2 linked regions of the Danio rerio genome follow. The protein of the gene in region 2 purifies or fractionates together with the protein of the main gene of each other region. This does not show direct contact. Links are inferred from orthologs where the notes say so. Each region holds a gene or a part of one and is shown on either strand. Other genes may lie near its edges. The genes, in order: zzz3 and tada2a.

What was found.
Region 1: the proteins of tada2a (region 2) and zzz3 purify together in Homo sapiens (affinity purification with mass spectrometry; 4 studies listed by BioGRID and IntAct, with this or other methods). This does not show direct contact. The link is inferred for Danio rerio from reciprocal best matches to the Homo sapiens genes TADA2A and ZZZ3.

The regions. Positions count from the first base shown.
Region 1 is NC_133177.1:9,142,596-9,159,402, forward strand, and holds the start of zzz3 (ZZ-type zinc finger-containing protein 3), read left to right. Parts: upstream 1-6,743; coding exon 6,744-8,143; intron 8,144-14,799; coding exon 14,800-14,938; intron 14,939-15,033; coding exon 15,034-15,181; intron 15,182-16,807.
Region 2 is NC_133190.1:18,212,931-18,228,937, reverse strand, and holds the start of tada2a (transcriptional adapter 2-alpha), read right to left. Parts: upstream 12,238-16,007; 5' UTR 11,999-12,237; coding exon 11,974-11,998; intron 9,623-11,973; coding exon 9,516-9,622; intron 9,424-9,515; coding exon 9,364-9,423; intron 8,774-9,363; coding exon 8,682-8,773; intron 7,542-8,681; coding exon 7,378-7,541; intron 2,310-7,377; coding exon 2,221-2,309; intron 1-2,220. UniProt on the Homo sapiens protein: Component of the ATAC complex, a complex with histone acetyltransferase activity on histones H3 and H4. Required for the function of some acidic activation domains, which activate transcription from a distant site. Binds double-stranded DNA.

The sequences.
Region 1 (16,807 bases), on a different chromosome or scaffold from region 2:
AAAACTGTAATAATAATTTTAAAATATGAAAAATAATATCAGTAAGAAAAATCATAGTTTTAATCACACCTTTTTATTATAAATGTTTGACTGAATGCTTTTAGCTAATTAAGACGGTTTGTAATGCCAATGAAAGATTGGCAGTTTGGCACTGGCTTAATCTGTGTCGTGTGTAATGCAGATTTGGAAATATGGATATTATTAAAAAATTATGGGAAGATCGGCAAAATCTGTGATAAATGTAAAGGTTGCCAGTCCCTGCTGAAATATTTGGGAAATACATTAACATTGTCAGTTTAAAAAAGAAACATAAGGTTGTCCCAAATCACATACTTGTGCACTATTCTACGCCATTTTGTAGTATAAATAGTGTAAGTAGTGCGTTCACACTGAAATTCTAAAGGCTGATTTATACTTCTGCGTCAAACACCGGCGTATGCTACGGCGCTGACGCATAGCCCTTCGCCGTGGCCATCGCCGTCACTGACGTGCACCTCTCAAAAAGTTTAACTACACGTCGCAACGACGCGTAGCGTAAGCTCTGTGATTGGTCGGCTTGGTAGCGCTGACGAGTCTGGGCGGGACCGAGAGCCGCGCGAGCGATTGTTTACAAGTGTGGAGTCCCGTGAAGGAGGTCCGGATGGAAAGTTTTGTTTTGTGTTTACCTCATAGTTAAAGTTGTTGCACGTCCGCCGGTTCCTGCCTCAAAATGAGCGAGTTTGAGCCACTTGTACATCCCGGAAGTGTTCAGGAAATGCAAAAAAGTAGCGAAGAAACTCGACACAGAGGAACATTTACACCTCACTGCCAACTAGTGTTTCGGAAGTGTTAATGCAGACCAACAGAGACAGCGTGCAGAAGTATGAATGCACAGCCACGCGCGTTGCCTGCGCCGTGGGTTACGCCGGTCACCTGGCGCAGAAGTATAAATCAGGCCTAAAAAGAATAAGTGCACTTTAATTACCTGGATGATGCACTTATTCAGCTGTTAAAATGGAGTGTGGAACGTTTGACACTTCACGCACTCAACGGCCGCTGCTTTGCATAAGTAGTGGAAGGGGCGGTGCTTTCAGGCACTGATGTTGGATAAGTTTATTTATTTTAGATTGTGAAAGCAAAATTCTCCTATGAGAGTGATTTATAGCACCACCCGATGGTGAATGAGGTTATACTCGTGGCAAGTATTATTTGGTCATTTATTTGGCTAATTTAGCAACGTCATTGGTGAAACGGTTTGAATTTCCGCTTAGAAAAAAAATGTTAAAGTTCCATTTGCGACAACACTACATTCATATACTATGCTGTTGAGTGTGTAGGTGCATAAGTAATACATAGTGCACAGTGTATAGTGTGCCATTTGGGACACAGCTATAGAGTTAACAAAAATACTTTTTGATTCATTTGACAGTATTTTATTAGGGTTTGTATTTACAGATTTCCTTTTTCTAAATAATTTACAACTACAGTATAAAATTTGTTTAGTATCCTAATGAGGATCTGAATGAAAATTCTCTTGGAGCGAAATCTCAAACCCAACAGGAAGTCTATTCTCTGTCATCCTTAGGCCACCGGGAGGTGGTGAGCCCTGCGGGTCCCTTTCATCGTTGCTTGGAGGTTTAATTTTAGTGTTGCTTACATTTATTTGTTGGTTGGTTGAAATGCAATTTTCCTCTTGTGCAAAAAAAATTATAAGTGCATCTGGAAAGTGTTTATAGCGCTTCACTTTATCCACATTTTTTTAGGTTATAACTTTATTCCAAAATGAATTAAATTCATTTATGTCCTCAAAATTCTACACACAAGACCCCATAATGAAAATTTTAAAACGATTATCAGAAATTGTTGCAAATTAATTAATAATAAAAAACCTGAAAAATCTCATGTACATAAGTATTCACTGCCTTTGCTCAATACTTTGTTGATGCACCTTTGGCAGCAATTACAGCCTCAGGTCTTTTTGAATATGATGCCACAGGCTTGGCATATCTGTCTTTAGGAATGTTTGCCCATTCCTCTTTGCACTACCTCTCAAGCTCTATCAGGTTGGATGGGAAGTGACGGTGTACAGCCATTTTCAGATCTCTCCAGAGATGTACAATAGGATTTTGGTCTGGGCTCTTGCTGGGCCACTCAAGGACATTCGCAGAGTTGTTGTGAATCCACTCCATTGATATTTTGGAGGTGTGCTTTGGGTCATTGTCCTGCTGGAAGATGAACCGTCATCCCTGCCTGAGGTCAAGAGCACTCTGAAGCATCTTTCCCTCTCTCCTGAATAGTCTTCCAGTTCCTGCTACTGAAACACATCCTTACAGCATGATGCTGCCACCACCATGCTTCACTGTAGGGGTGGTATTAGCCTGGTGAAAAGCGGTGCCTGGTTTTCTACAAACATAACACCTGGCATTCACTCCAAAGAGTTTAATTGTAGTCTCATCAGACCAGAGAATTTTGTTTCGTATGGTCTAAGAGTCCTTCAGATGCCTTTTGGCAGGGAGTGGCTTCCATCTGGCCACATTACTATACAGGCCTAAATGGTGGATTGCTGCACAGATGGTTGTCCTTCTGTAAGGTTCTCCTCTCTCCACAGAAGAACGCTGGAGCTCAGACCATCGGGTCATTGATCATCTCTCTGACTAAGGCCCTTATCCCCCGATCACTCAGCTTAGGCCAGGTCTAGGAAGAGTCTTTCACTTATGGGTGATGGAGGCCGCTTTGCTCATTGGAACTTTTAGAGCAGCAGAAATTTTTCTGTAAGCTTCCCCAGCCTTGTGCCTCGAGACAATCCTGTCAGAGGTCTACAGACAATTCCTTTGTCTTCATGCTTGGTTTGTGCTTTGTTATGCACTGTCAACCCTGGGTCCTTATATAGACAGGTGTATGCCTTTTCAAATCATGTCCAATCAACTGAATTTACCGCAGGTGAACTCCAATTAAGCTGCTGAAACATCTCAAGAATGATCAGTGGAAACAGAATGTACCTGAGCTCAATTTAGAGCTTCACGGCAAAGGTTGTGAATATTTCTATACATGTGATTCTTCAGGTTTTTTATTTTTAATCAATTTGCAACAATTATTTTTTTATATTGTCATTATGGGGTATTGTGTGTAGATTTTTGAGGAAATAAATGAATTTAATCCATTTTGGAATAATGCTGTAACAGAAAAAGTGTGGAAAAAGTGAAGCGCTATGAATACTTTCTGGATGCACTGTACTTAGGCATACTTCGGTCTTATGTGAGCATCAGATTAGTATACTTTACATGGCCAAGTTACATGTGGAGCTTAATTATTATTGTTTGGACTTTAGGCTTTCTTTGAGCGCTTTTCCACTAGGTGCTACAACTCTGTGGTTCAGTATGTCTTAACTCAGTCTGCTTTTACACAAATTAGTACTGCTTCAAAGTGGGTGTGGGTTTATTATAGTGTGCCACCTCTACTGATGCTATATTCTGCATCACTTTTTCCAGCTCTCATTGGATCTGCCCCTCCTCACCTATTTATGGTTATATTACTTTAATATGTTTTTAAAGTTTTTTTTGTCATTTTTGTGCAAACATTAACTTTGAAAATGCAATTTAATTTTATTTGTAACATTTATAAAAGTGTTTGTTTTCTTTTGTACCTTGGGTTTCACATGCATATGTATTTTTAGGCTTGTACAACTCCCTATAAAGATGTGTGAGACTGTTAAAAGCCTCAAGTCTTTTCTTCACCTCTCACTTGATCTCACCTGAGCCGGTTATAAATACTCCGAGTGACGTTTCACAATGAGAGGAACGTCTACACACCATATACTACCACGATACAGCCTTGTGTGCAACATTTGTTTAAACAAATCCTACACTGGTTGTTGTGGACTGTTTATTTCAATCTAGTGGGATTTAGGCATGGGCCGGTATTCTAATAGCTAGGATGTAACGATTTACCTGACTGACGATTCGATACGATTAAGTCACGATTTTTTTTACAAAATTATGAAGAGCCCTTTCATTTTTTTCTTAAATTCTACAAATCTTTTGCAAAATAATATATTTTCTGCCATAACTAATTTTCTATTTTAAAAACAAACTCCCCAGCAAAAAAATAAAGACTCAGTTATATAAACAAACTAAAGCTGTGACTGTGCTTTGACTTTTTTTTTTAAATAAATATCAGCATTTAATATGTTTATGTATGAGATCTTTGCACATTTATAATGTCCCCTGCTGAAAAAAACTCTTTCACTGGGGACTGAGATGGCTGGTGTGGAGAGGAAAGCCTTTCCTAAATCAGAGAGCAGTGTGTACAGAGGTGGTCAATAAGTCCACTAATCCGGGGGACTGAACACTGGCTTAAAAAAAAAACTGATTATAAATTTACTAATAATATGGTAGGATAAAGACTGGACATGATTATAAAGGTGACTATTTAATGTTAAGTGTATAATTAATTAGTATAAGTACCAGTGCGATGTATTATCTTAACATTCTGTGCTAGTTTTTTAGCGTCAACTTGGTGTGTTCCAGTCCCTATACTGCAAAATAGCATTTTTTGTGTGTGTGTGTGTGTGTGTGTGTCTCTTTGTGTTGACTTCTTTAGACTGATTGTAATATTATTTATTATTTGTTTTATAATTATAGCTGTTATAAAGAAAGTTGGAATCAGCGAACATTGGTATCAGCAGGTCACACCAAAAAAAATCTGAAGTGATTACAATTGGTGCATCTCTAAGTAATAAGTAAAGGTTTTTTTTGGGGGGGGGGGGGATTCTTATTAGCGATGTTTGCTCATATATCATCACTTTTACTCTTGTTTATGTCTCAAAGTATAAAACTTGATATGTTTATGCTACAGTCCTCAATGGCTTTTCTAAATTCTGCAGTTTTTTGAGGGCTGTGCTATTAGTTTTTATACTAAAAAATTCTCATAGGCTTTAACTAGAGGGTAATTATGGACATAGTTGAGCTCGTTTCGACTTGAACCAGTAATCACATAGCAGCACCTTGGCATTGTGGTGACTTTTGCACAGGTAACCATCACTCAGATGCTCTTCAGAAATCTAGCTGAATTTTTTTTCAGTCGATTAAAAAGCTAAAAATAAATACGCCCACCTCCTTTTCTTGTGGAACTCATGCTTGTGGAAACATTCCAAATATTCCACCAGTGTACTGTTATTCAGAGTTGAGCTTTCAGTTATGCTTTCATGTGCTCACATTTATTAATACATTGTTGAAAACCATCACTTTAGATCATATTTTTAAACTTTAAAAATATTAAATATTCACATTTACATTTTGGGGTCACTTTAATTTCTTTGGTCCGAATGTGTTTTTGAGTGGTATATTTTAATTTTCTTGGACACCAGGTTTTCAATAATTTTTCTTTTTGGCTAGCAAACAGAAGCCTTAACAGAAGGGAGAATGATCATTGATTTGGGACTGCAACTAACAATTACTTGAATCAGATAAAAAAAAAGAATTAATTTCAAAGTTCCAACCCTTTATTAAAATCAGAACTACAATCTTTAGAAAGTGCTCAAACATGTTGCTCCTTAACGTGATGCGCACACCATGTGTACGTCACTCCCATGTGCACCTCCTTTGGAAATGACAAACTGACTCTAAGCTTATTGGCATTGCTTCCAAGGTGCGCGCTCGGCAGACACATTTTAATAAAACTATAGCGCTTCATACCGAAACTACATACCAAACTTTTTTTGTTACTGATATCGACAATGGTGTTCAGTTAATAAATACAGTTAAATCTTTCTCCTAACCATCTCAGGTCACGTATTTTTTATTTATATTTTTTTCATACAAGTTAAAGAAATCATAACTACTGCGCTTCTACCACCTCAGTTTCCCAGAACTTCTGGAGCTTGTTTAGTCATAAAAGCCTGTGATCTCGATTTTTATCGCCCAGCCCTATGCTTCACCCCTGAGCCTGACATCATTATTAGACAATTCAACACCCAAGTAGACCCATATTCCTATGCTTTGCTCAGTCCAGGGTGCAGAGCCCTTGAATGGGGACTTAAATGTTACCATGACAAAGCAAAGCAGCAACCACAGAAATGTTTTATTGTTTATTTTCCGAGCGATTAAATTGAAGTTTTATAATTATGTTTTCAAAATATGCTGTCAATTTCAATCTCTTCCAGTACTAAACACAATTCTTACCTATGAAGTACTAAGAGAAAGTGTTGGTGGTATTTCACAAATGTAATTGAGTATTTAAGGAATTTAATTGAGTGTACTAGAGGTTATAGGAGGAATGTGTTTTCTGCAGTCTGTTTATATATCAATAATAATACAATTGGTTACAGTGAAGTAAGCATTAGTCTTTAATCAAGAACATGATCTTTCAACTGTTAGTTCTGCAGCTTTATCGTACGTTTTTGTTTTTTAATTTTTAAAAGTTAAAACTTTTCTGTGTGTAAATGTAACTTCTTATGAACTTGTTTTACATGAATCCACTACATTTCAGAATATACTAACCTCTGTTTAAACTTGTGAACATTTCAGTGCTGTGCAGCAACTTTGATTTAACCTGAGCACATTTGCATGCATTCTCAAATATGTATGTTCTTCAGGAACAGCAACCGATTACATCTTTTCTGTCTATTTTTTGTTATACACTTAAACCTGTGTAATTTAGAATCTGAACGGTCTGTAATTAGTCTCTCATTGTGTCACTCAGGTGCCCACATACTGCTGCTGAGGAGAGAGCACCACGATGAGGAGACAGTAGGCACCCACCATAGTATGGCCGCGTCCCGCTCTTCGCGCGTCACAAGATCATCAGTGGGGATAAATGGATTGGATGAGAACTTTTGTGGCCGAACCCTCAGGAACCGCAGCATCGCCCAGCCGGAAGAGAGCTCTCCGCCTCCCGTGCCCAGAGCTCGCTCACCCAAAAAGAAGCAGGACTGTCAGCAGCACCAGCAGACCGGAGCACAGGTTGGAAAGGTAACTGAGAGCAAAGCGGAGGGCGAACCCGTGCCTGCATGTGGAAAACGTGGCTTGCCGAGCTCCGAGAAGGAAGATTCGGACAAATTTGATAACTGTGAGCGTCAAAGGTCTGGGTGTGGGCCTGAAGCCTCACCTGCCCTGAAGAGGGCCAAACGCTGTCCTCGCTCAGGTGAATCACAGGGGGCAGAGGAAGAGCCTTCTCTCAAACCCGAGAGCCCCGATCCTGCTGTATTGAAGGAAAATGACGATGGCGCCAAATCAAATAATACTTCAGCCTCAGACAAAGAGGCTGATCAGAAAAAGGATGGCCCAACAGAAGAGATCGCCCCTCAACCAGAGGTCAGCGAGAACGTCAAAGCAACCAATGGCCTCGCTGAACTCTATAGAGAGGACTCAGAAGTTGCGGCCTTACCTGTGGAGCCCTGTGCCTCCCCTGCCACACTCAACAGCAGTCCCTCACTGTTAAATGGCAGCCAGGCTGCGCCCTCATCCCCCGACCCTATTGTGCCTTGTAGATCCCCTCATCCCAAGCAAACCAATGAGCCCGACAGCCCTAAAATTGACTGTGAGAGGAACTGCACACCTGAGGAAGCCGCTGAGGCTGTGCTGTCTCAGGAACCCGAGATGGAGGTAGAGGTCGATGTTGTGGGAGAGGCTGGCCAGGCTCAGGATGAATTCGTGAGAGAGGAGAGCACCAATGGTGACTTTCAGGCTGAACCACAGGACCCTTCTGACAACTGCTCGAATATCTCAGGAGAAACGCTGTTGGCTGCTTCTCAGCTGCCCGCCGAGCCCCCCTCCTTCACAGAGCCTCAAGAACACCGCTACACCCTGAGGACTTCACCGCGCCGCGCTGCCTTTGGTAGCGGGCTCAAAGCCAGCTCCCCCAAACCCACTTCCCCACACATAGACAATGGTTCACTGAAGGAAGAGACCACAATGGTTCCTTTTTTCTCAGAGGACACCAGCCATAAAGACCCTTCCCATGATGCACTGGGACTTTCTTGCGAGGCAGACAGTGAACTTTTCGAGGAAGAGGTTGTCAGCGGAGAGGTCGGAGTGTCTGATAGTAGAGAGTCAAGATCCACCAAAGAGCTGCTGGCTGCTCAGGCTGAGGAAGATGAGGAGGAGGAAGAGGACCCAGATGTCTACTATTTTGAGTCGGATCACTTGGCTCTCAAACACAACAAAGAGTATGTTTAGGTTTACGTTCTTTCATTTGAATCTTTTTCATAATTGCGGTGATTCAAGATTATTGATTAGAAATTTGCTTTTGGCTACCCCAAACCCAGCATTTAAACCCAACAACCCAACTTTGAATACAACGGACATGAATCATGTAGCTTTATGAGAAGTCTTAAGTCGACTGTCAGCCAGAAATACTGTAGGTTAAGAAGTATGTTTTGGTTGACTTTTATGTCTGTCACCAGTTTGAACCTGTTAAAAAAAATCTACAAATTAAAAATCTTTGATCCATATTCAGATTTTCAGATCAGCTACATTTCTATTAAAATTATTGGACTTTGTTGGTGATCTGAAAATCTGACTGCAACTGTAGTTTGGACAGACCAGAGCAATGTTTAAAAACCTATAGTATCGTTCATCTGTTGCTTTAAGGAACCTCATAATGGCGCGTTTTCACTAAGCCGGACGGTACGGTACGGGTCTGTACGAGTCACCTTTATCAGGGTTGCGTTTCCATTGCCAAAAGGGTACCAATGGTACTCTTTTGGTGGGCATGGTATTCAACAGAAAGTTTCAGTCAACGTCCTTCTAGCTTGAGGAAATGTCAAAGTAAAGCTGTGCAATCAGTGCAAACCTCTCATCTGTATCTTTAATCTTCACCTGCGGTTAAAAAAGCTATTCATAAGTTTATAATAGTTCAAAAGGCGACAATAGTAGTTAAACATTGTCGTTTGTTCATGGTTTAGGTTGCTGAAAGAATCATTTGCTCATTTGTTTTTTTGTTTTTCTGGCTTCTTTTTTGTTTTTTCGCACTATACTCTCGCGTTGGTCTGTTTCTGAAAGGATTGGATGTCTGAAGCACTTTATTAATCATGCGCACGTTATTATAATCAGCTCAAAAAGTTTGTTATTTCAAATATAGAAGCATGACGAACGCACACAAGACAGCAAAACTGCTCGCCCTTTAAATAACTACTGGCCACAGGGTAGATTCTGCTCTTTTTGGCTTTGTGGCTGTTCATCAAGACAACGACAAGGTTGTTTGAGCTCAGGTCAACCATGGTTCGTTATTATATGTATATATTATTATGGTCTAGTGCAGGGGTCACCAATCTTTGTTCTGGAGGGCCAGTGTCCCTGCAGGGTTTAGCTCCAACTTGCCCTAATCCACCTGCCTGAGTGTTTTAAGTATACCTAGTATTGTACATATGTATTTGATTAGGGTTGGAGCTAAAATCTGCAGTACACAGACCCTTCAGGAACAAGTTTGGTGACCCCTGGTGTAATGTCTCAGCTGTGTATTTAAAAAAGGTGATTCCTTTGTTTTTATTCTCCTGCTTTTGCGTGTAACGTATCTCTGTAAACCAGTAGCGTTTAGTTGCACGTCTTGCTCCGCCCTTTGGTACCCTTTTGTTGTGCTAGGTACCCTTTGCAAAGGGTACCCAAAAGTGGTACGGTTTGCTTTTTAGGTACCTTTTGACAGTGGAAACGGCCTTAAAAGCGCACTGAACCGAACCGTACCACTAAGTAGAAACGGGCCATAAAACATCCTAGAAACTGCACAGCAAACCACCAAAGCCAATCAAAAAACTTATATAGAAATACTCTGCAATCCATTCAGATAGTTCTGTAGCTTTGAAATTTAAAATAGTTTAAGTTGTTTTTTTTTTTTGGAAGTAGAACCGAACTGCAATGCTTTAGCTTGTATGGTTGCCAAAACTGAGCTGTGCAAGTTTCGATTTGTCTGCCTTTGCTCTTTTTTTCTTCAGCATTTGAGATTTGTAATTTAAAAACATTGGTTATGCATACTGTTTTTTTTTTTGTAGCAAAAATGAGCAACAGCTGCTGTAATCTCCAGGACAGTGGTAGGTAATAAGCGAAGGGAAGCATGCTGCTGGTAGACAGGTTGTCCTGGGTCGTGCTCATTCAGCATGTGCCAGTCTCACAGTGGGAGTGCAGGGATCGGGAGCAGCCAGCTGGATTGGCTTGTCGGTCAGTAGAAATGAAAGGAGAGTGCAGCCACATCAGTTCATGGGACCAGTCTGAATTATTAATAGTTTGGTATTAAATCATTCTTAATCCTTAAATGGGACAGTTTTTCCATCGCAATTCATTTTGAAATTCAGTTTTAACTTGTAAAGCATTGCTGGTTGGTTATTAGGATGTTGATATAGTGTGTTGGATTGTTGATTGGTGTGAGTGAATGGCAGCTTTTATGTGACCCAGATCCACAAAACTAGTCATAAGTATCATTTTTTATAGAAACTGACATTTATACATTTTTAAAGCTCAATATGCTTTCCAGATAGGACAATATTTGGTTGGGAAATAACTATTTGAACATCTTTAAAGTATATATTTAGGCATATTAAAGATAAAAAATTACATTTTAATACATTTACTGTAGGAAATTAATGCAATGTGTTTAGGAAACATAATCTTTACCTAATAGTCAAATGATGTTTGGCATAAAAGACTAAATTGGTAATTTTGAACATCACATTGAGCATCTCTGAACACACAACACGTCCAACCTTGAGGCGGATGGGCTACAGCAGCAGAAGGCCACTCCTGTCAGCTAGAAACAGGAAATTGAGGCTACAACTCACACAGGCTTAGCAAAATTGGACAATAGAAGATTGGAAAAACGTTGCCTAGTATGATGAGTCTTGATTTAATTTGAATGGTAGGGTCAGAATTTGTTGCCAACAACATGAAAGCATGGATCCATCCTGCCTTGTATCAACAGTTCAGGCTGCTGGTGGTGGTGTAACGGTGTGGGAGATATTTTCTTGGCACACTTTTAGCCCATTTGTACTAATTGAGCATCGTGTCAACACCACAGCTTACATGAGTATTGTTGCTGATCATGTTCACTCTACTCAAATGGCCTCCACAGTCACCAGAACTCAATCCAATAGAGCACCTTTGGGATATGGTGGAACGGAAGATTCACATCATGGATCAATTCATCAATTCTACAGCAATTCTACAGCAACTGCGTGATGTTATCATGTTAATATAGAAGGATTATTTCCAATACTTTGTTGAATCTATGCTACAAAAGATTAAGGCAGTTCTTAAGGCAAAACAAAAGGGTTCGAACTGGTACTAGTAAGGTGTACCTAATAAAGTGGCTGATGAGTGTATTTTGGTGCATATTTCTTAAAATAAGAGTCTGGTCACCTAACATCATGATGAATACAAAGATATAGTTTGTTTACATTTAAATGAGTTATTACATAAGAAAAACAAAAGTTCAATTAGCTTTATTATTTTGATTGTTTTATTGATTTTTTTATTTTATTTAATTCAAATTATACTTTTTTTCCAATAAAAGATTAATTGGGGTGTACAGATTATTGCCTTGTGCTCTACGGGGTCCAAGCTTTAAGTTTTATTCTTAAGGCATATTTATACTTCTGCGTCAAGTGCACACGTATGGTTTGGCGCAGCCTGTGTGCGGTCGCAGACACTGATGTGCACCTTACATACAATTAAACTACAAGTCGCAACGATGCTTAGTGCAAGCTCTGTGATTGGTCGACCTGGTAGCTGTGCCAAGTGTGGGCAGTGCTAAGAGTCGCGAGCCAGATGGGAGTGAGTGTTTACAAGTGTGGAGTCCCGTGGAGTAGCCGTAAGTGTTTTGTGTTTACCTTATGATAAAAGTTGATGCACGTCCGAGTTTTAGCTATTTGTACATTATGGTAGCGTTCAGAAAAAACAAAAACCTGTGAAGAAACTCGATTCAGAGGAACATAACAAAACCTACTGCCAGCTAGCATTTCGAAAGTGTTGTTGCAGAGCAACACAAACAGCACGCAGACGTATAAATGCTCGGCTGTGCACAAGGCATGCGCTGTTGGTCACGTCGATCACTCAACACAGAAGGATAAACCACCCTTTATTTAGTCAAAATATAACAAAACATCTTATTTTGTTACATTACTTCCAGTTTTGGCTTTGCTACTAACTAATCGAATAAGTATATACTAGGGTTGGGCTGATAGACGATGCCATTATCCATCGCCGATGGCCAATAGACAACACAATGCACAGCCGGCATGACGATTCTTCGTCCTGCCGCCATCGCAAACTCCCTCGCATAAAATACACACTTAGGCCTCATTTACACCAAGACGTCTTAGTATTAAAATGGCATTTTAGAACGTAAATGATCCACATCCATGCTGTGTTTTACCTAGCATTTCTGAACAGCCCTCCGTCCGCTGAAAACACAAATCACGTGACAATACACACACACGCACACACATTGTCAAGCGCTCCAGAGAGAAGTGCACATCGGAGAGTTTATCAAGGATGTACCGCTGGATCGTGTCTTATTAGAGTTGTTTAAAGTGATATTTAATTAATCTTGTCTCTATTTAACAACTCTTCTGTCTTTTGAATCTATCAGGTAACGTGTCACAGCGTCAGTTCACGGCTTCAGTCTTTTACTTTCACACTTGTACTTTATTAATTTTAGGGAAAACCTCAGATACTGTTGGTTGGGCACCTTTTTTACCGACCACCCTCACTTGGAAAAAATGAGTGATAGGTGGTCATTTGTGTGTAACTTATCTTTATTTATTTGTGTATTTTTATGGGTAAAACAAAGAGCATGCGGGTCAGGTAGTTGAAACGGTAGGCTACAAATAATTAATTCGTTATGAATTAATTAATTAATTATAAATAATGACGTTGCCTATGACAACGATGCCATCGACCAAATCGCAATGTTTCACATTAGACATTGTATGGTGCCAAATTGGTCGACACCACCCAACTCTTGTAGATACACACAAATAATACCTTATGGTGTAGCATGCTTTTGAAAACGTACGTTTAAAAGAAAAATACTCATTTATTCCGTGCACTGTTTGTAAAAGTAGTATTTTACAACAAACTTTACCCGGAGTTGTGGGTTTTAGTGGTGTGTTGACATCTCTCAGTCTAAACCTAGGCATTGTAATGACTGACTATAAGGGAAAATCCGCCCAAAAAAACGAAAATGTACTCACTAATTACTCACCCTCGAGTGATTTTAAACCTTTATGAGTTTCTTTCTTCTGTTGAACACAAAGGAAGATACTTTGAAGACAACCCATAACCATTAACTTCCATAGTATTTGTTTAATCTTACTATGGAAGTCAATGATTACAGGTTTTCAGCAAAATATCTTGATTTATGTTCAACATGAAGAAAGAAACTCAATTTTGAACAAATGAAGTGTGAGTTCATGATGATGACAGAATTTACCTTATTTATTTATTTATTTATTTTAGGTGACCTATCACTTTAACATGCACACAATAAGCTCTAATGTGTCTGATTTGCCTACCTAGTTACAAAAATGTGTGAAGGTTTTAGGCCAGAATTCCTGTTTGTGTGGAATTCAGTGCAGGTTAATTGGCAAAGTACTGATTAATATGCCCATTTCACTATACTTCTATTTGTTCAGCTTTATTATTGGTCTAGGCTGCATTTCATGTGGTTGAACTATAGGCGGCAGTGCGTTATCAGCCATATGTCATGTTTGGGCTCTTTGCCATTGTTGGCTGCTTTCCCCATCCTGCAGTGCTACATGTCTATCTTCATTGTGCATCTGAATCGAGAGGCTGTGAACAGCTCCTCTGTGGTCGAAGTTATTAGGCGGCAAGGAAATTGAAGGAAAGCTAGCCAGTTGCCCTCAAGGATGGCAAATCAGATGAAACCAGTCCTCTAGATGAATTCTTGTTGAGAGCGAATGCTTGCTGTCATCAGTTGGTTTTCGTTCATGCCGTATTAGGCCTGATTGATTTATACAAGGTTTATTGAGCTGAATAAGATTACTTTTGAGCAGTAGGCTGAATCTCCTTCACTTAAAAACCCTGTTGTATTATTCATTCTCCCCCATCGTTCCCCTTTTTTTTTTTTCCATGTTCCTATTTGTGGATCCTATTTTCCTGAGGGTGCGCATGGAAAAGGTCAAAGCTCTGTAGTGCTCGGACGTCATATCTTCTTGACTAACAAGATAAATGTAGAGAAAACCCAGAAGAAACATTTTGTTTTATTTATAGCAGTGACTAAGGCAGCTTTGTTAGCCATCTTGTGAAATTGTAATTCTGTTTTAAATATTTCCTGAGTGATGTCTAATGCTTTTTTTCAGCACATCTTAAACAGAATTGTTTGTTTATTTATTTTCCTTCAGCTTAGTCCCTTATTTATTAGTGGTCGCCACAGCAGAATGAACCGCCAACTATTTCAGCATATGTTTTATGCAGCAGATGCCCTTCCAGCCAAAACACAGTACTGGGAAAGAACCATACACACCAATTTTCACACACACTACGGACAATTTAATTTATTCAATACACCTATACCACATGTTTTTGGACTGTTGAGGAAACCAGAGCAATTATCCGGAGGAAACCCATGCAAACAAGGGAGGAACATGCAAACTCCATGCAGAAATGTCAACTTACCCAGCCGGGACTTGAACCAGCAACCTTCTTGCTGTGGGGCAACAGTGCCAACTACTGCAGCCTCTATATTTTTTGTGAACCATTGAAAGGGATTTTATTTATGGATGTCTATGAAACAATGAATGGGTGATTTTGATGTCTAAAAGCATTAGCTCTTAATAATGTACAAATCATTTCTGCCCTTTATCCCACACATTAGTTATCAGAGGTTGCTCCAGACCATCAGCGTACTGGAGGCCCAGCGAACCCAAGCCATCCTGGACCTGGAGACACTGGCGCGGCATCAGAAGGAAGCCCTGTCAGATCCCATTGCCTTTGTGGACCAGCTACAGAAACAGGTACACAAGCTTCCACCAGACCTTCCATTCCTGTTGTCTTAAATGTCTGCTATTTAGACCCGTGTTGTGATTTGAGTGTTTTGTTGTTGTTATAGGTGGACATGGGTCTGCCTCGACCCCAGAGAGTGGTCCAGCTCCCGGAGATTGCATGGGACCAATACACCTCAGGCCGGGGCGACTTTGAAAGGGAGTTCTGTGACAAGAAGCGCAAAACACGACAGTTGCAGTTAATATTTGACAAAGGTGTGTATCAGTTTTGTTCGAATTTTTCTTTGTCCACGTTAGAGCTGTACGGTTCTGGCTAAAATGAGAATTGCATTTTTTTTTGCCTAAAATAACAATCACGATTTTCTCACGATTCTGTAGATGTAAAATAAAGGTTGATATGAGTGGGCTATTATTTTTGTTGTTCTCAAACATGTAAAACAGCAACAGGCTTTGTGTAGCTGTACTGTTGGTTAAAATGCTAAACTTGTATAGACTAGGAATGGTGGACTTGAACAGACTTTAGATTTGTCCTGGTCATTAATGCTGATGATTATTCTGATGTTGAATTATTGAGTTTGAGACATATGCTTACTAGAGATGTTACAATATTGTAAATACCGTCATACCACAATAGTAATTTTTTTCAATATTACCGTAGGCGAATGACTCAATAACACTATATTTCTGAGAAAAGTTTGCTTAGGCAAATGAATCGAACGGGAGGTAGTGGGAACTACAATTCCCATCAGCTTAAGCGTGGCCATCATCCTTTGCGATCTGTTGTCACTACAGATCCAGAAATGGAGTGTGTTGCTAGTAGCGGGGAAGAAAAAGAGCTGGAAATGATCAAACCTAAAGCGGGTTTTAAATCATCTGTGTGGAAGCATTTCGGTTTCTTTCTAAAAAGATACGAAAAAGGAGAAAAGGTGACAGACAAAGAATAAAACAGTATGCAGGCACTGCCAGACTGTGGTGAAATATAAGTCGGGAATACGACTAAAAACAGTCATGGGGACTGCAGAACACAGCACACTTGTTAGATTGATGCTGACATTGACTTGTACCGCAAAGAGACCTCTATCTCACTCATGGCTTGTCCTCTCAAGTGGTGGAAAGACAATGCACAACGTTACCCACTGCTGTCAACCTTGGCTAAATCATATCTCTCTGTCCCAGAAACCTCAGTCCCAAATGAGAGGGTTTTTTTCTGTTGCAGGGGACATGCCCAGAGATCCCAGCTTTTACCAGATTATAGTTGTATAATAATTTTCCTTAAAAAACCCATCTCTATCTAAGTGAGTGAGTGATTAAATGTTGAATGTGATGAGTTTTCAACAATACTAAATTGAAACTTTATTTTTTTATATGGTTTAATAGTTTTTTGTTATTAAAATTGAAAAATTGAAGTTCCTGTTTCGAAACTTACAGATAGGTGGCTAATTTGTATGTCATTGATATGTTCAGTGCTAAGGTAAATAAACACTTTTGGCACTTTTTTCGAGTCTTTTCATTAGTTTTGTTTTTCCTGTAAATTATTTAATAAATACCGTACCGTGCCATTCATACCGAGGTATTATTGTATCGTGAAATTCTGATACCGTTACATCCCTAATGCTTACAATCTGTAATTTTCTGCTTAAATCTGTCACTGATGTGATTCTCGTCAATACAGAAGACTGGGTGGGTATTTTTGCATTTCGGCGGGTTTTTGATACTTTTTGGGCTGGAATCAGTCAGCTACATCTGGCAACACTGTGTGCGCTTTCGGTTTCGGTTACTGCTAAGAGCGGTTCACTTCGAGCGCGGTTCCAAAATGATCACTTTGTGCCACAAACTGAATGTTATTTACAACTTTATTAGCTGTTATTCACAGCATATGCA
Region 2 (16,007 bases):
ATTCTGGCAAAGCACCAGGGTGCTGAATGTGCTTGCTGATCGTATGGAGCAAGGCTAAAATAGCATCTGCAGGGTCATCTTTGCATTGACTTAACACATAGATCACTCGCACTTGACGATTCATCCGTGTCGGTGTGAACGTACCTAAGACTTTTTAACACCACTATAGATACAATTTTCGACTAAAACAAGGCTAAATGCTAAGGACTATTTCCAATGGCCCATTTGGGCAAGCACAAAAAGAGTTTTATATAATAAATTCAAATAAGTTATGTTAGCCACATATTTTAAATGTGTCAAAACAAAGCAAAACCTAGTTGTGTACTTACACACTTATTTTGTTGTTGTTGTTGTTAAAGAAGATTGACAAGCTGTATAAACTTTAAAAAAAACTAAAAGTATAACAGTCGGTCCAGGTCAGTGTCCCCAACATATATGGTCTATAAATACATAGAGAACTTTTTAACCAATGTAATTGTAGGGAAGACAACTAATCCATATTGGTAAACAGAGTTATAAATAGAGTAAAGTTTTATTGAGATGGACTGTGTCGGTGTCGGCCTGTGGTGCTTTTCTCAAACAACGACGTAACTCCGGGATTAACTATCATAGTACGATGCATCGTTTGGAAAAAAGAAAGATGTAGTGATGAGTGTTTCCCCAAAACCGTAGTTTCTCTGTCGATCCATAATTTGAACCATGTTAGATATCATGTAAACCGCCTATAATGGTACTCTAAATCAGGTGGTAACAGCTTATTTAGAGAGGAACCCCATAATTTCTTTGTGCAAATTATATTGTTTCACAGGGACACACATTTAAAAAAAATCCAATTTTAGTTTTAGTAAAAACATGCAATTGCTTTCCAGATTAATTGTAATATACTGTATGTAAACGGCATATATAGGGCCTGTTTTCTTTACAAATATTATTGAGAACATTACATATTCTATTCTAAAACATAAAATCACTTACAAAAGCAACCACGTATTCTAGTATCATATATTAATCATACAACTAAATAAATAGACAGTCTATTTATTAAGAAATAAAATGTTATATTTATTATTTATTAGGAAATGAAAAAAATCTTACTTTAATAATAATATCAATAATATCACTGATTATTATTATTAAGTAGAATATTGTTTATTTATTTATTTTTTTGAAAAGTCTACTTTTACAATTTGACACATGCAAACCACTGCACAAATGTTCTAACTAACAGGCCCACGTCATATACAGTACAGATACTTAATAAATACATACTAGATATTAAAACCATTAGCTTTTAAATAATAGGTCACCTGTAGCTTTCATCATGAGCCACGGCTGTGTTCAAAATGACATGAATGCTTTTAAAGTGCACTAAAGCGGCAACGCAAGACTGCTAAAACTGATCTGTAAAAATACTTTGACAGCAAATTACACTTAAGAGTGATGACTTAATTTTTTAAAAATCATTTCAAGTTTAAATGTTAGAATGTATAGGGCATATAACTGGGCATATAACTACAATAACTGGGAATAGAACACAGCCAGGAACTATGTTTCTAACTACAGCTCCAAAGGTGTAGTTGCAAACATTGAAGTTTGCGATGCAGTTTGTGAATGTTCTTTGGAAAGACGGATTTGAAAAATGCTAAATAAATGAACTATGGTTGTAACGACGGAACTTGCGACCTTAGTTGGCTTTCGAAAACGTACCCCTGATTTGGACATATGAAAATTAAGACCTGTAAAAAAAAACTATTTAAGACCTACAAGACAACATTTTAGCAAATTTAATCATTTTTAAAGCCTAAAATTTAGTTGTTGAAATGCAAGACATTTTAAGACTTAAGAACCTGCAGACACCCTGGTTATTGTTTGCTCCATTCAGCCATTTTCATTTCTTGTTTTGCATTTAATTAAACACTTAATAAACTTTTACGGCTGAATACAACATACAAGCTTTGAGTCACATTTTTACGTTTAGTGACAAGTACCTGTGTAATAAGTGGCATAAAGTACATCCAGTCGGTTGTTTTTTTTTCTCCACAGAACAACACTCCACAGATTTGCTTCGCTGATGCGATAAGAACCACTTGGATGTACTTTATCTTACTTACACTCCACTGAAGGCATGCATTTCTATTCCCTACAAATTTGTTTTCATCCATGTCAATATTGAAATAAGGTGTAACCCTGACTAAAGTCTAGTAGCTGCAGATCTCTTACCTCCATGAAGTCTGCTCGAGCTGGCATGTATCCGGCCATATCTCTGGACAGTTGTGAGTCAAAGGAAGGCCTTGGAGGATCGTCAGTGGCTGAAACACATACAACACAAAGCATGACATTATTATTATAATGATGCATCACTCAGTCATTGCCACATTTTGAAAACTGCAGATTTGTCTGTGTGTGCTTATGTGCCATCTTAACAACAAAATGAATCAGACAAGCACATCTCGTATTCAATCTGTTAGTCTGTGTGTGGTGAGAGTGTGATGAATGAGTGCCCGCAGGGATGTGGAGCTCAGGATGGCAAACACAAATGAACACAATGAAAGAAGCATGGATTAGAACACGACTGATGTCCTGCTATTCAGTACAGCACTGTTTATTGTAAGCCATTTATCCATATATACCTTATTTGTACTTCATGTGCCATCATAATTTTTTATCTAAATAATTTCTATTCTCTCATGATGTATTAATTTATTTTGACTTAGATTTAGTTGACTAATAGCGAATGATAACTATTCCATCAATTCTAATGAAATAAAGCCTTTAACATCACAATATGAAAAAAAAACTATATATATATATATATATATATATATATATATATATATATATATATATATATATATATATATATATATATATATATGCTGATTTAAAATAGGATGGCAGAAGAATAAATATTTCATTAAAAACCTCCATAAAATGTCAGTGTAAAAAAAAAAATCAAACAAGCAAGGAGCGAGTAGCAGAAGATGGAAAACCCGGATCAGAGCTAGAGCAAACCCGGTTAGAGAGGCTTTGTGCATGTAGTGGACATTCTTGCCACTCTACACATTTACTCTGACAACAACAGATGAGTACAATGATTGCAATCTCTTATAATGTTCACACCTGATATTAAGAAGATGCATTTTTGTAACTACTTCATCAGGTAGTACAGGTGTGAACAGTCTGTTAAACGCTTTGAGCTTGTCAAGAGGTGGTCGAAAAACACATTAGACCAGAATACTCTTGTGGGGTCAGTTTTGTCGCTAATGTTAGTTTGTGTAATACATGCTTTAGTGAATCAAATTCATGTAAATTGCATCTAATAAAACCTATTTAAATATTCAGTGTTTTGAGGGAAATTTTGTGTATAAATTTAGCTAACTACTGATTAGCTATTTCAGTGGTTACTGTGGGTCAAATTATACAAACAGTGCATCTAATTGTAATTTACTGTTAGACTAAATGTAGACACAAATGCCTATTTTGCAGGGAAAATTCTTTTGCGAACACTTAAGAGTGTCTATTGGTTTTCTAGATTTGCTGGTTTCAGACTGTCGAATGATTTTTTTCTTGCATAGACTGATTGGCGTAATTATCAGGGCTCGAAATTGCAACCGTTTTGGTCGCATTTGCCCCTGAAATTTCATCAATTCAACCTCATAATAAATTTGGGAGCATTTCTGCGACTGCATATAATGGTTGTAGTGCGACCTGTTAAGATTTTTTTTAAAAATGTGCTGAATCGGTCTTCCTTGCTGCTGTATTGGTTCATATTAGCTCATAACAAAGAGCGGTATTGCGCCAGTGGTCATCGGGGGAATCCTGCTCTGCATGCTCATAAATTGGTGCGGCTGACTCGCCTGCTTTCCACAAACGAAGAAAAATGAAAATCAGCTCATAACAAGACAAGATTATCAATAACAAGATAATCAAAACTTTTAAAGAGTGATAGAAATGAGACTTTTATTAGGTTCTTCTGTCCATTATTCCTTGAGATTTATATTATTATTTAATTACTAACTAAAAAACAGTTTTGCAGCTTTCAATCTTGAATTTAATGATTTATTATAGTCTTTCGTTTGTTTTGTGACAGAAACATTCTTTTTTAGATTGACATGCATATAAAAACAATAGTACAAAATAAACATTTTTTTTACTGCAATGCTTTATTTTAGTTTGACGCAAACCATATTTTTCATAAAGTAACTTATATTTATTTATATATATAAATAAACTTATATATATTTATTTATTTCATAAAGACTTTTTTTAGCAGATAACTCGCATTCAAGCACATTCAAGGCAGCATCATATTGAGAAATGTAATTTATTGTTAGTATTATTGTCATTTTTGTCATCATTAATATTTAATAATTATTAGACATGCATTTTGGAACTATTGCACACAAATATCAATAAGTCATTACAGCATTAATAAGATAGTTGTTTCTGGTTTTTGTTAGTCCTAATTTATGTTGTTTTCAAATACAATAAATCCCTTTAAATACATTTTGCAATGGTGCTCATTTATTTTTGGTGGTGCTCCTAAATTTTTTCTGGTACTCCTAAATATGTTAAGTTGGGAGCAACGGTGCTACCAAGTGAAATAGTTAATTTCAAGCCCTGATTATACATTCACAATGGAATGAACCATTATTATTTTAATGATTAATGATAAACACTAATAATGTGAGTTTGAATGCTATTTCACATGACATTTATTGCCATAAACTGAAAGCAGCAGCAGATAGTTTCACCTCAGATCTTAAAAATAAAATAAACAGTTTGAAATTGAACACACATATTTGTACATGTGTACATCACTGTAACATGTTTTCTTCATGACCATTTGAGCTGGTTTTAGTCCTTAGCTCTTTTCATTTTCATCTTATTTAAATATGTTTAACTTGCTTGTTAATTAAATACCATTTTGTTATTTAAACTATTATTTTTATGCAACAATCAACTTGCATGTTAATTTGCTATGAAGAAAAGGAAATATTTTTTTGCATGCAGATTTATGTGAAATCATGAATATAGGTCTATAATCACCTTGCAATTTTGAAATTATAGCTTTTTTGCATTGTGTATAGGCTATTCAGTTCATAAGAACAGTTCAATCTTTTATTAAGTTTGCTGTATAAAAATATAACAATTTAAAATATTCATAATTATCGGCCTATACATATCGGCTATCGGCCTCCAAGTCTGAAGAAATATCGGTTATCGGTATCGGCCAAAAAATCCATATCGATGCATCCCTAATTATAACCCCTAATTAGATTATAAACCTCACCATTTTATGAGTGGTGCATATTCTTTGCTTCTAAATGGTTGTATTTAAATTTCTGTTGTGTTTCGTCTGGTGCAAATAGGCAGATTGCTTATCACTGCAAATACCGTCGCGTAGTGTGTTGTTAGGACACAGGGCTTACGATGGTCCTGCTTACCTAATGTTGCTTATTAATAACCTCACGTGGAACTCTGAATCTGCGTCTCATTTCGGAATCTACTACTGTCCACTGGAGGACACATTTCGGTCACGAACACATGCTTTGAGAGCCTTTCTAAATAAATGAAATAAGAGGTTTTCCACCAAGGCAACCTGAGGTACTGAAATATAACTGGCTAAACTGGCATTGTGCAGGTTAAAAGAACAAAGAAAGAAAGCATTTTGGCATAGAAAACCAATTTTCAAAGCAGAATATCTGACTTCTGCATTGTTTTTCAGATAAACATAAATGTTCATTTGGCATGTCTTTTAAATATCTGCAAACATATTATAGTATTTTATGCTTCAGAAGAGTCAAAAATGTACACACAGCACTTTTAAGATACAAATCAGAGAAATCTATTAAAGGGCACATAGGATACCCCTTTTTTCATATTTATTATAAATCTTTTGTGTCCCCAGAATGTGTCTGTAAAGTTTCAGCTCAAAACACCCATCAGAGTATTTATTATAGCTGTTTGAAGTGTCTGTACTATAGCTGGGAAAAGGTTGTTGCTGTTTTTTAGCACTGGGCCTTTAAGGCGAGTCATCCCCGCCCACCGTTCCCACGTGCCTGTCAGCAACATGCCTCAATCGCCGCCCTTGGCAGCCTCAGGAAGCAGATCTCACGTAACGTTTGTGAGAAATACTACAGTAAGAACTTTACCAATCAGTATTTGATGCATTTTTTGTGGAGTTGCAACAATGAGTTCAGGCACACAGCGCAGACACGTAGAGCAGACACACATGCACATACATAGCGTAGACACACAGACACACACACACACACACATAGCACAGACACGTAGAGCAGACACACACGCACACACACACATACATAGCGTAGACACGCACACACAAAGAGAGACAGTGAGAGAGACACGTGGCTGTGCTGATGAAATGAATCTGAAGTGACTGGCTGTACTTCATTACACACGTGCACACGTTTTAAAACATGTTAAACTTGTAAAACTCACTCTTGATCACGTCTGATGATGATTGATGATCCTAGCAAACTGAACAGACCTTTTATTCCCGGTTGCTTTGCGCTCGTCCTGTCTTGTCGATATAATTTTATGCATTACTACGGAGACATGTTAATGCGCGCAGCTGTCAATCAATATTGGTGGGCGGGGGGACCGCACTCCTACGTAAAGTTGCGGTCTATCTGAAAACCGATTCAAATTGGTCCACCGTTTTTATGTTGTTAAATTAAAAAAAAAAAAAAAAAAAAAAGGGCCGGGTGTGTTTATTTCAACCCAATATGACAGTCTATACACTATACTTACACACATGTATATCCAAACAGCTTGAAAAGTAGATTTTTCACCATAGGTGCCCTTTAAAGTGCTGACAACTCACACAGCTTGTTTTGACGTCATTCAGGGGGGATCAAGTGTTAATTAGAAGGGTCAATCCCAATTAATGCATAAAGTGGCTTTTTCATATAGCTTGTTTAATTTATCTGGCTCTTGTCTGGTACTTTGTCCAATTGTTGTAATCAAATCAACAAAAAAATTCTTAACAGAAGGCCTCAGACGCTATTTGACTAAAAAAAAAAACAGATCACCGAGTTTACAGAAAACAATCAGACTGTGGCTGGGAGATTACAAACAATTTCAGTTTCCTGCACATACACTAGCTATTAATTTAGCATTACCTGACATGCTTTTTCTACTCTAATAGTGATGGAAAAGTCTGATTTTAATGATTTACTAAAGAAAAAAAGTCAGATTAAGTCAATTTCAAGCAAAATCTAATTTTCTTTTGCGTGAACTTTCATTTTAACTTGTTTGGGATTGATTAGACTTGTAATTTGTTGAAACCTTATGTATATCAAGAGGTGAATCACACAACAGTTGCTTCTGTTGTTTTTGCTGCTCACTTACGCTTGAAGGGAATGGCTGTGTCTGCTGTCCGGGACAGATGATCATCCATATGTCTGAGACTGAGCAGAGTGGAGGAGAACAGAGGATTGTTGATATAGTTCTTCATGTAGTGACCTTCACATTCTTCTTTGGTTTTAGAGCGCATCTGGTAAGCCACGTCCTGCCTGAAGAAACCCAGATACAACAGCAGCAGTGTTACATTAATGACATATTAATACTTTTAAAGCATTTAGTCTTATTTCAAATTTAAGTTATCTGTAATTACTTAATGTGCTCATGCAATTTTTGGTATTATTATTTTATTAAGAGTTAATTTATTTTTATTTTGGTTTGAGTGATTTTATTTTAGATTTGTTTCTGATAATGCAATCATATTTTTTTTTAGTTTTTTTTTGTAATATTTTTAATTTAAGTTTATTTCAATTATCAAAAACAGTGTATAAGAATTTTAACACTGGCCATACATTTAAACTAAAGTGTTGATGTTTAAAAACTGTTCCCAAAAGCTAAAAAACAGAAATTATTTTTAATGTACTTTCTGATCACACAGTAGAAAACTGATATTCTTTCAGAGTATTTTTGTCTTGCTTTCTGCTGCAAACATCTATTTGCAATTCAATATACATTTACTACAAGAAGCAAAATGGCATAAGACAAGAAGTCCTGTTTTATAAGAAACTGATATAAATGTGTTTGTATGCATGACATGAACAAAGGTCTGCCTATAAACAAACAAACAAACAAACAAACAAACAAAAAATTGATTTATTCCATATTAAACAAGTTTTCATGCTGTAATGACACACATTTGTTCTTCTTTTAATCACTTAATTTTGTCAATTTCTCAAAAAGTAAACTAAAATATTTAGAATCAAGCCTGAAATTATTCATACCTTTATTCATGAGCCGGTGTCATTTTAGTAACTTTAAGTCAGAATTTGCCAGGGGTATGAATAATTCCGGGCTTGACTGTATATTAAAGATATTATTATATTAATGTATACATTGCATTACTATATAATTGATTGGTTTTGCATTTAACTAAATATATCTTGATTTATGGATGATTTAATAATTGCATTGCATAACAAGACAAAACACTGAGGAAGACACTCTTTTTTGGCAATTCCTGAAACATTTCATGCCATTACTACTTCACAAATGTATCACTTTTTGTTCTGATTTTAAACTTAAATAGTGGAAGAGGACATTACATTATTTAGATCTGAGGAAACACTGAGCTCTAGTACAATTAAGCCTTATTAGAAGAAAGAATAAAAGGTATGGAAAGGAACTATACTGACCAATTCCCAAACCCACAGTCCATGACGGCCTCTAAAAGAGCCATTTCCTCCTGTGCAGTCCAGCCACTCTCTAACACCGGAAAATCTGAGGTCTAGAAAAAATACATATTAAAAAAAAAAAACATGTTATTTATAGAGCAAATACATTTATAGAGCAAATTTTTACAATCAAGAATTTTTAAAGAACAAACAAACAAAAGAATCTGTTTTGAACATTTATGGAATAAACAACATTTAAAAACATCTTATATATCTAAATACTTTAATGATTTTTAGGAACATATAACTAGTGAAAACAAAACAAACACCCACATACAGTATTTGTTAACATTTTAGTTTAATTATCAATTACACCAGTAACAAAAGAGAAACAACATTTACTACTGGGTTATTACCTGTTTATTAGCACTTATAATACTATTATCTTATTTTACATCCCTAATCCTACCCAATAACTACGGTAAACCCAATTACTACCATATAATACCACTTATATATATATATATATATATATATATATATATATATATATATATATATATATATATATATACTTATATAAATATAAAACTATAACTATAAAATTAACTACAACAAAAAACAAACCAACAAAAAACAGTTGCCATTGAAATACCTTTTATTCCAATATCTTATGTATTAAGTGTTGTAATCTATACTTTACCATGATTTCATATTTGTGGTCACTCTGGTGCTTTTTATACTCATATCCTCTAGTGAAACACTGCAACAGAAAGATGAAAACATAAAGTGAGTATTTCATGATCAGTGACAGTGTATGATTGATGCATTCAGACAGCAGTGGAAGGAAAGCACCTGCAGACACAGGAGAAATGGGGACGGTCCACATTCAGCACACTTGATGTATGGCTCCACCAGATATGACGAACATCCACGACAGGGAGGCTTATCGAAAGGATCATCTGAAGACCAAAAAATTTAGAAACAGAATGAAGGTATCAGCAAATCAACCCTCAAGAAATTCCGTTTCTCTGGATTTACTGGATATTTTAGCTATGGGTTTGAGTAATAATGTTTAGTTCATGAACAAAAATTTAGTCATTTAGAGCCTTTTTGGATGTTTTCTGAAAAAAAAAAAAAAACAATTCCAATAAAATAAATATTAACATTTATTTTATAAATAAAATAAATATTAACATTTATTTTACTTAAAATTTTACCTAAACAAATCCAATATTTTCAAAGTAATAAAGTTTAGTATAAAATATCCAAATATTTTAATTTGTTGTGATTAAAAAAAATCTGGGATATGACACCAAATAATACTTTTTTTTAAAAAATTCTTCTGAATTCAAAAATTCAAATGGTATTGTGCTGTCAGAAAAAGAGAAAATATAAGCATGTCTAAAAATAAATTTTATTGTAACACAATACAATACATACTGTACAACACATGTACAGTATGTGTTTAAGTAAAAATAATAATTTCTGTGAAATAAAGAAATTCTGTTCTATACATCACAAAAAATAGTGTGATTTAGAGCTACTGTATCTAGTCACAAAATTACAAAATAATAATTTAATATTCTTTATGAATAAATGAAACAAATAATAACATTAAAAGACACAAACAGTACCTAATCAAACCAGAACGTTCAAGAAGTCCAGTTTTTACAAAAGTGTACAATATATTTTCAAATATGACACTTGATTTATTGTTTGTTGCTTAGAATAAATGTTTAATATTTCTTGTGTTTATAAAATATTCTACAAATGTGAAAGAAAACCATTATTTTATTTTTAAAGCATTTATTTTATTTAGCTAATCTTGAATGTATGTCAAAACATATTACTATGTTATAAAGCTGATACTTATTAAAAAAACTATGAATTATAACGAAAAGTGAAAAATATAACCCACCAAAATCAAATGTAGTATTTTATTACAAATATCTGTTATTATTACGTTATTAGATAATTAGTTTTTAATGAATATATATATATATATATATATATATATATATATATATATATATATATATATATATATATATATATATATATATAGTTTATAAGGAAATAAGAGTATATTTAAGAAAAACATTAATTTGTGAATAGCCATGGGACAATAACAGGTTTCAAAGTACAACGCAGTTTGGAAAAGTCAATGATTTAAAACCGCCAAAGTTTTCTGTTATACCGTTCCTACGGTGTTTGTACGGTTTTTATTTACGTGTTTTTTTTTTGTTTGTTTTTTTTAGGACAACAGTATCTCCAGAAGAAAAACATTTGCGAAGATGTCTTTTCAAGTTGTAAAGAAATCAGTGTTTTGAAACTAATGAAAACAGCAGAAGTCAATGATTCATTTCAATAATTTAGGACACGTTTACTTTTCCAAAATATTTTAAATGTTTCTCAAAATAAACTATATTGTGTTCAAACTAGGTGGAAAAGTTTTAGTTGTTCACCCAGACATTTAAAAACTTATTTTAGAGCACTAATAATACTGTGAAACTGTGATAATTTTATCCAAAGTTCTCATACCGTCAGAATCTTATACCGACCTATGCCTATTTGTGAAGCATAAAGTATACAGTAAGGGGGTCTTAAAACTATTTCTGGTTAATACAACATTCACCTGAGGTATGATTACAGTTAATGCACTGCAGCTACTGCATTTTACTTTATAGTTTCTACCATTAATATAATTTGTTTTACCATTTATGAATTACAACACCATGGTACAGCATCATATATTCCACTTAAAAGCATTGTGAATTATTTACTACATTCATTAAACTCACAATATAAATAGTTATAAAATGTTTTAAATACAATAAATAAATTTACAAATTAAATATTTGTATAAAAAATAAACATTAAAAAACTCATATGCTACATTTTATTTCATATATATACTTTAAATTATTGTTATTTATTTATATAAAAAAATATATATACACATTTTTTTAAAGAAATCATGACTTTATACTTTAATGCACTGATTTGTTTTATATAAGTTATATGTATTACAAATCGGGGGCAGCATGGTACAGTTTAAGATGCCGTACTGCAATATGCATTATGTTAAGCGTTATTAATAAGTGTATTATCATAACATGATGTACTCCAGAGAAATTCAAATATTGTCATGGCACAAAATACAACGTACGTCGTAAATGGCTCTTACAGAGTCATTTTAGCTGACATCCGTTTACTATGGTACATTTCTGTATCAAATACCAGAGCTATTTAGTTTTCATATTTAGGCTGTTTCCCCAAGAGTACTAGATTTACTAAACAAGAAACTTACTTCCAAATGACGCCAGTCTATCCATGTTGTAAATGAATGATGGGATCTGGAAAATGTAAAACCTTCCTCCTCCTCTTCCACTCGTTTGGAAAAAAATTGAGATCTTTCTGTGATTTGTGCTGAATTAAACTGGGCGGTTGTACCGATTATGCCTCGTCGTTAAAAAGCAAAGAATAAAAACATAATCTTATGCTCTGTTTAACACATTATTGAGAATGTAAACACAGTGCTTCTGCTCGATCTGTGCAGCTCAGTGAACAACATTAGGAGGGGAAGTGACGTTCTTCCACAGCGCCCCTCAGCGGCACCTGCGCGATACATACATACATGAATATGTGACAGACTCGCGAGCTCAGCCTTTCTACAGTGAGGTCAAGATCTCTCAAGTGACTTTTAATAATCATCTACAGTATAACTGATAGCCTACTTTACACTGGACACTTGAGGAATATCAGACCAGATATTTCGTTTTCATCACTTTCCCACCTGTAAATCATCGTAAGTATTTTTTTACGGATTCATTTCTCATAGTTTTATAAGAGGCGTTCAACTCATAGATATTTATAATTGATATCTATTATATAATGTCGATGGTTCAGCTTCAGGATGATCCTGTTTTTATACATTATTTAGTATTAATAGATTACTATGAAAGTTAGAATTATTATTATGATTATTATTATTATTAGGTTATTACATTGATATATAAATTACATAATTATAATTTTTACTTTTACTTTCCTTTGGCCTTTTCCTTGCTTTAGCGTGGTTACCACAGCGAAATGAACCGTCAATATCTTAATTTTATGAAATTTCATTTTTCCTTTTGTTAATGTTGGTTATTGTATTTACTAACATGAGCAAATGAGGAAATGCTAATGAACAACAGATTTATTACAGTACTTGTTCCTCTTTTTTAACGTTTGTTAATGACAATAAAGTTGTTCATTGTTAGTCAACGTAACTCACAGTGCACTGACTAATATTAACAAGCACAACTTTAGATTTTAATAATGTTGAACTCGGTCGAGGCAGTGACGCAGTAGGTAGTGCTGTCGCCTCACAGCAAGAAGGTCGCTGGGTCGAACAGTTGGCGTTTCTGTGTGGAGTTTGCATGTTCTCCATGTCTTAGCGTGGGTTTCCTTCGGGTGCTCCGGATTCCCCCACAGTCCAAAGACATGCGGTACAGATGAATTGGGTAAGCTAAATTGTCCGTAGTGTATGAGTGTGTGTGTGTGAATGTGTGTGTGGATGTTTCCCAGAAATGGGTTGCAGATGGAAGGGCATCCGCTGCGTAAAAACTTGCTGGATAAGTTGGCAGTTCATTCCGCTGTGGCGACCCCGGATTAATAAAGGGACTAAGCCGACAAGAAAATGAATGAATGAATAATGTTGAACTCAAAAAATGCCATACAGATTTGATAATGCTTAGTTCATGTTAGTAAATGCATTAACAAACATTAACTAACAGACCATTATTTTGAAGTATCACCCTGATATTTTTAGTTATGCACACTTTTATGTATTGTCCATTTAGCTTTTTAAATTAATTGAATTTAGGAAAAGATAACATTTACTCTGTCTCTTAACCTCTGAAAAAAAAAACACTGTATTTAAGTCCATTTATTCTTGTTGTTATTATAAATTGTGAAAAAATCATCCAACCGTTTTAAATTCATGATTGAGCTATTCCAGCGTTATGGATGTGACTTTTGCAAAACATAAATTCACAGAGAAACTGTTAACGTGTTTATATTTTCCAAAACAACTAACCACAGAGTAATGGGATCAGAAAAACATCGATCTGTAAACATTTTTTAGATCTTAAATGAGGGAAATAAACATGCGTTATGGATGATGAAAAAAGTTAGTGAGTTTACAGCATTCGACATACTTTGTAGAAATTCTGTGAATTAAACTGCACACCCCAAAATAAACAATGCTAATCGTAAGGATAAGAGTTGGCTTACTATAGGAAATAAAAAATACTGATTTTATTAATTGCAATGAGAAAAAAAATGGTTATGGATGTGAAAGATTTGTAATATCCACTTGTATGACTTTGGTAAATCAAATGTAAAACATTAACGAGATATTTTTGAGTGTTTCTAAAGTACTGTAAAATACTTGCTTCCACAAATAAATTTAGAAATGGTTGCTATTTTGGTGAAAACTATTTTTTTTTTCATAGCAAAGTTGACATTTGAATGGAATTGCTCGATTGTAAATTTAAAAGCACAAATGTGAAACTGCTAGTTTACAATGAGTATGCAAATTTTATTTAGAAAGACTTCTCCCATATTGGAGCAGTCAATGATGGTCCATGAATGGTTTGCTGCACAATGTTGTGGCATCTTGAAAAACTAATTTCAAATTTATTTTTAGTGATTTCATGTTTTAGTGGTTAGTTTAAATATTTAACACTTCAAGATGATAGACATATTGACATCAGAGTCTTAGGACATACAAACTCTGGGCACACATATACAGTATTTAAAGTAAAACACACAGTATTTAAAGTAAAACACATGCAATATGATGGAATAGTCTTCATTGTCTTCAAAATAAAAGAGCCAATGGGACTTTTAATGCACAGGGACTTTTAATTTTCAGTAAGTCAACTTAAGAGCTTCCGGTGAACTGCCATGGCATTACAAAATAGTCACGTTTAAGATTTGATTTCTTAAAAATAATCTATGATCTTCTTTACTGCCTAATTGAGATACGATATAAAGTGGGCCTTAGACCAAACAAGAAGCACTAAATAGGGTATATGCAGAGCTAGTATTTCTTCCCATACCCATAAACTTCCGGTGAACGGTTAATGTGACTTTTTTTCAATTTTACACAGTTCCTTTTACAGCATCAATGTTGTAATGTAATTAAAATCGATATGTTAAATAGAGTTCAGCATTCATTTAGTTGTTGAAGCGGAAACCGAGATGAAAAGCTGTTTACATGCACGCACCCATCAGGATCAGCAGGCAAGCACAGAAACACCATTGGAAACACTTGAGTAAAACAAATTAAAATATTTTAAAGACATGACATGGGAAAATGTAATTTAATTCAGTGCTTCTTGTACAGTCTGAGGCCCATTTTACAACGTATATCATTTAGGAAGTGAAGATCGTTCATTTTTAAAGAAAACAGACCATAAACATACCGATTTTGTAATAGCATACTGTTCACTGGAAGCGTTTGACCCAGGTTACTGACAAATTAAAAGTCCTTCAGCATGTTTCTGCATTCAGTATACCCTATTGCATTACATTGTTCCACACCATGTCTATCAAATATGACAATATATTTTACCACAGTATTTTCATTTGAGTTTCTCTGCTTGCCTGCTGCTCCTGCAGCGCATGTGTTAAACATTTAAATGGCCTTTTATCTCGTTTTATGCCTCAACAACTAAATAAATGCTTAAGTCTATTTAACTGATTAGATTTTAATTAAATTACATTATCAGTGCTGTAAAAGGAACCTTATGAAATTGAATATACTATAGTCAGATTAACCATTCAATGGAAGTTTATTGGTGGCTGAAAAACACTTGTTGCATGTATAGCCCATTGCAAATTGACTTTTTTGTCAGTGCAGCAGCTGTTGGAAGCTCCAGCTGTGACAGAAACCATCAATGAGAGGTGCAGGACTGCACTTGTGCACTAGCTGATCTGGTCTGAATAACTTGTTTGACCATTACTTTCTTTCAGAGAGAATCCAGCTGGTGTCAAAATGCCAGCAGAGGTCACTAATGAAACATTACAAAATAAATGCCTTTGGTTTGCTCAAATGGTCACCCATTCCTGACAACTGACTACTTATTTTCACATACCAATGTCGACAGGTATGGTCTTGTCATGTGGGAAACACGTTGATTTGTGTAAAGCAGTGTGAAATGTCAAATTAATAACACAGCATATTAGAACAGTTCTCAGGCTTTTTATTTGATTTTTAATTATAAACAATGAACATGAACAACCAAGGATGATAGCCTATAATACCATTGTAAAGACCATTACTTGGAGCCT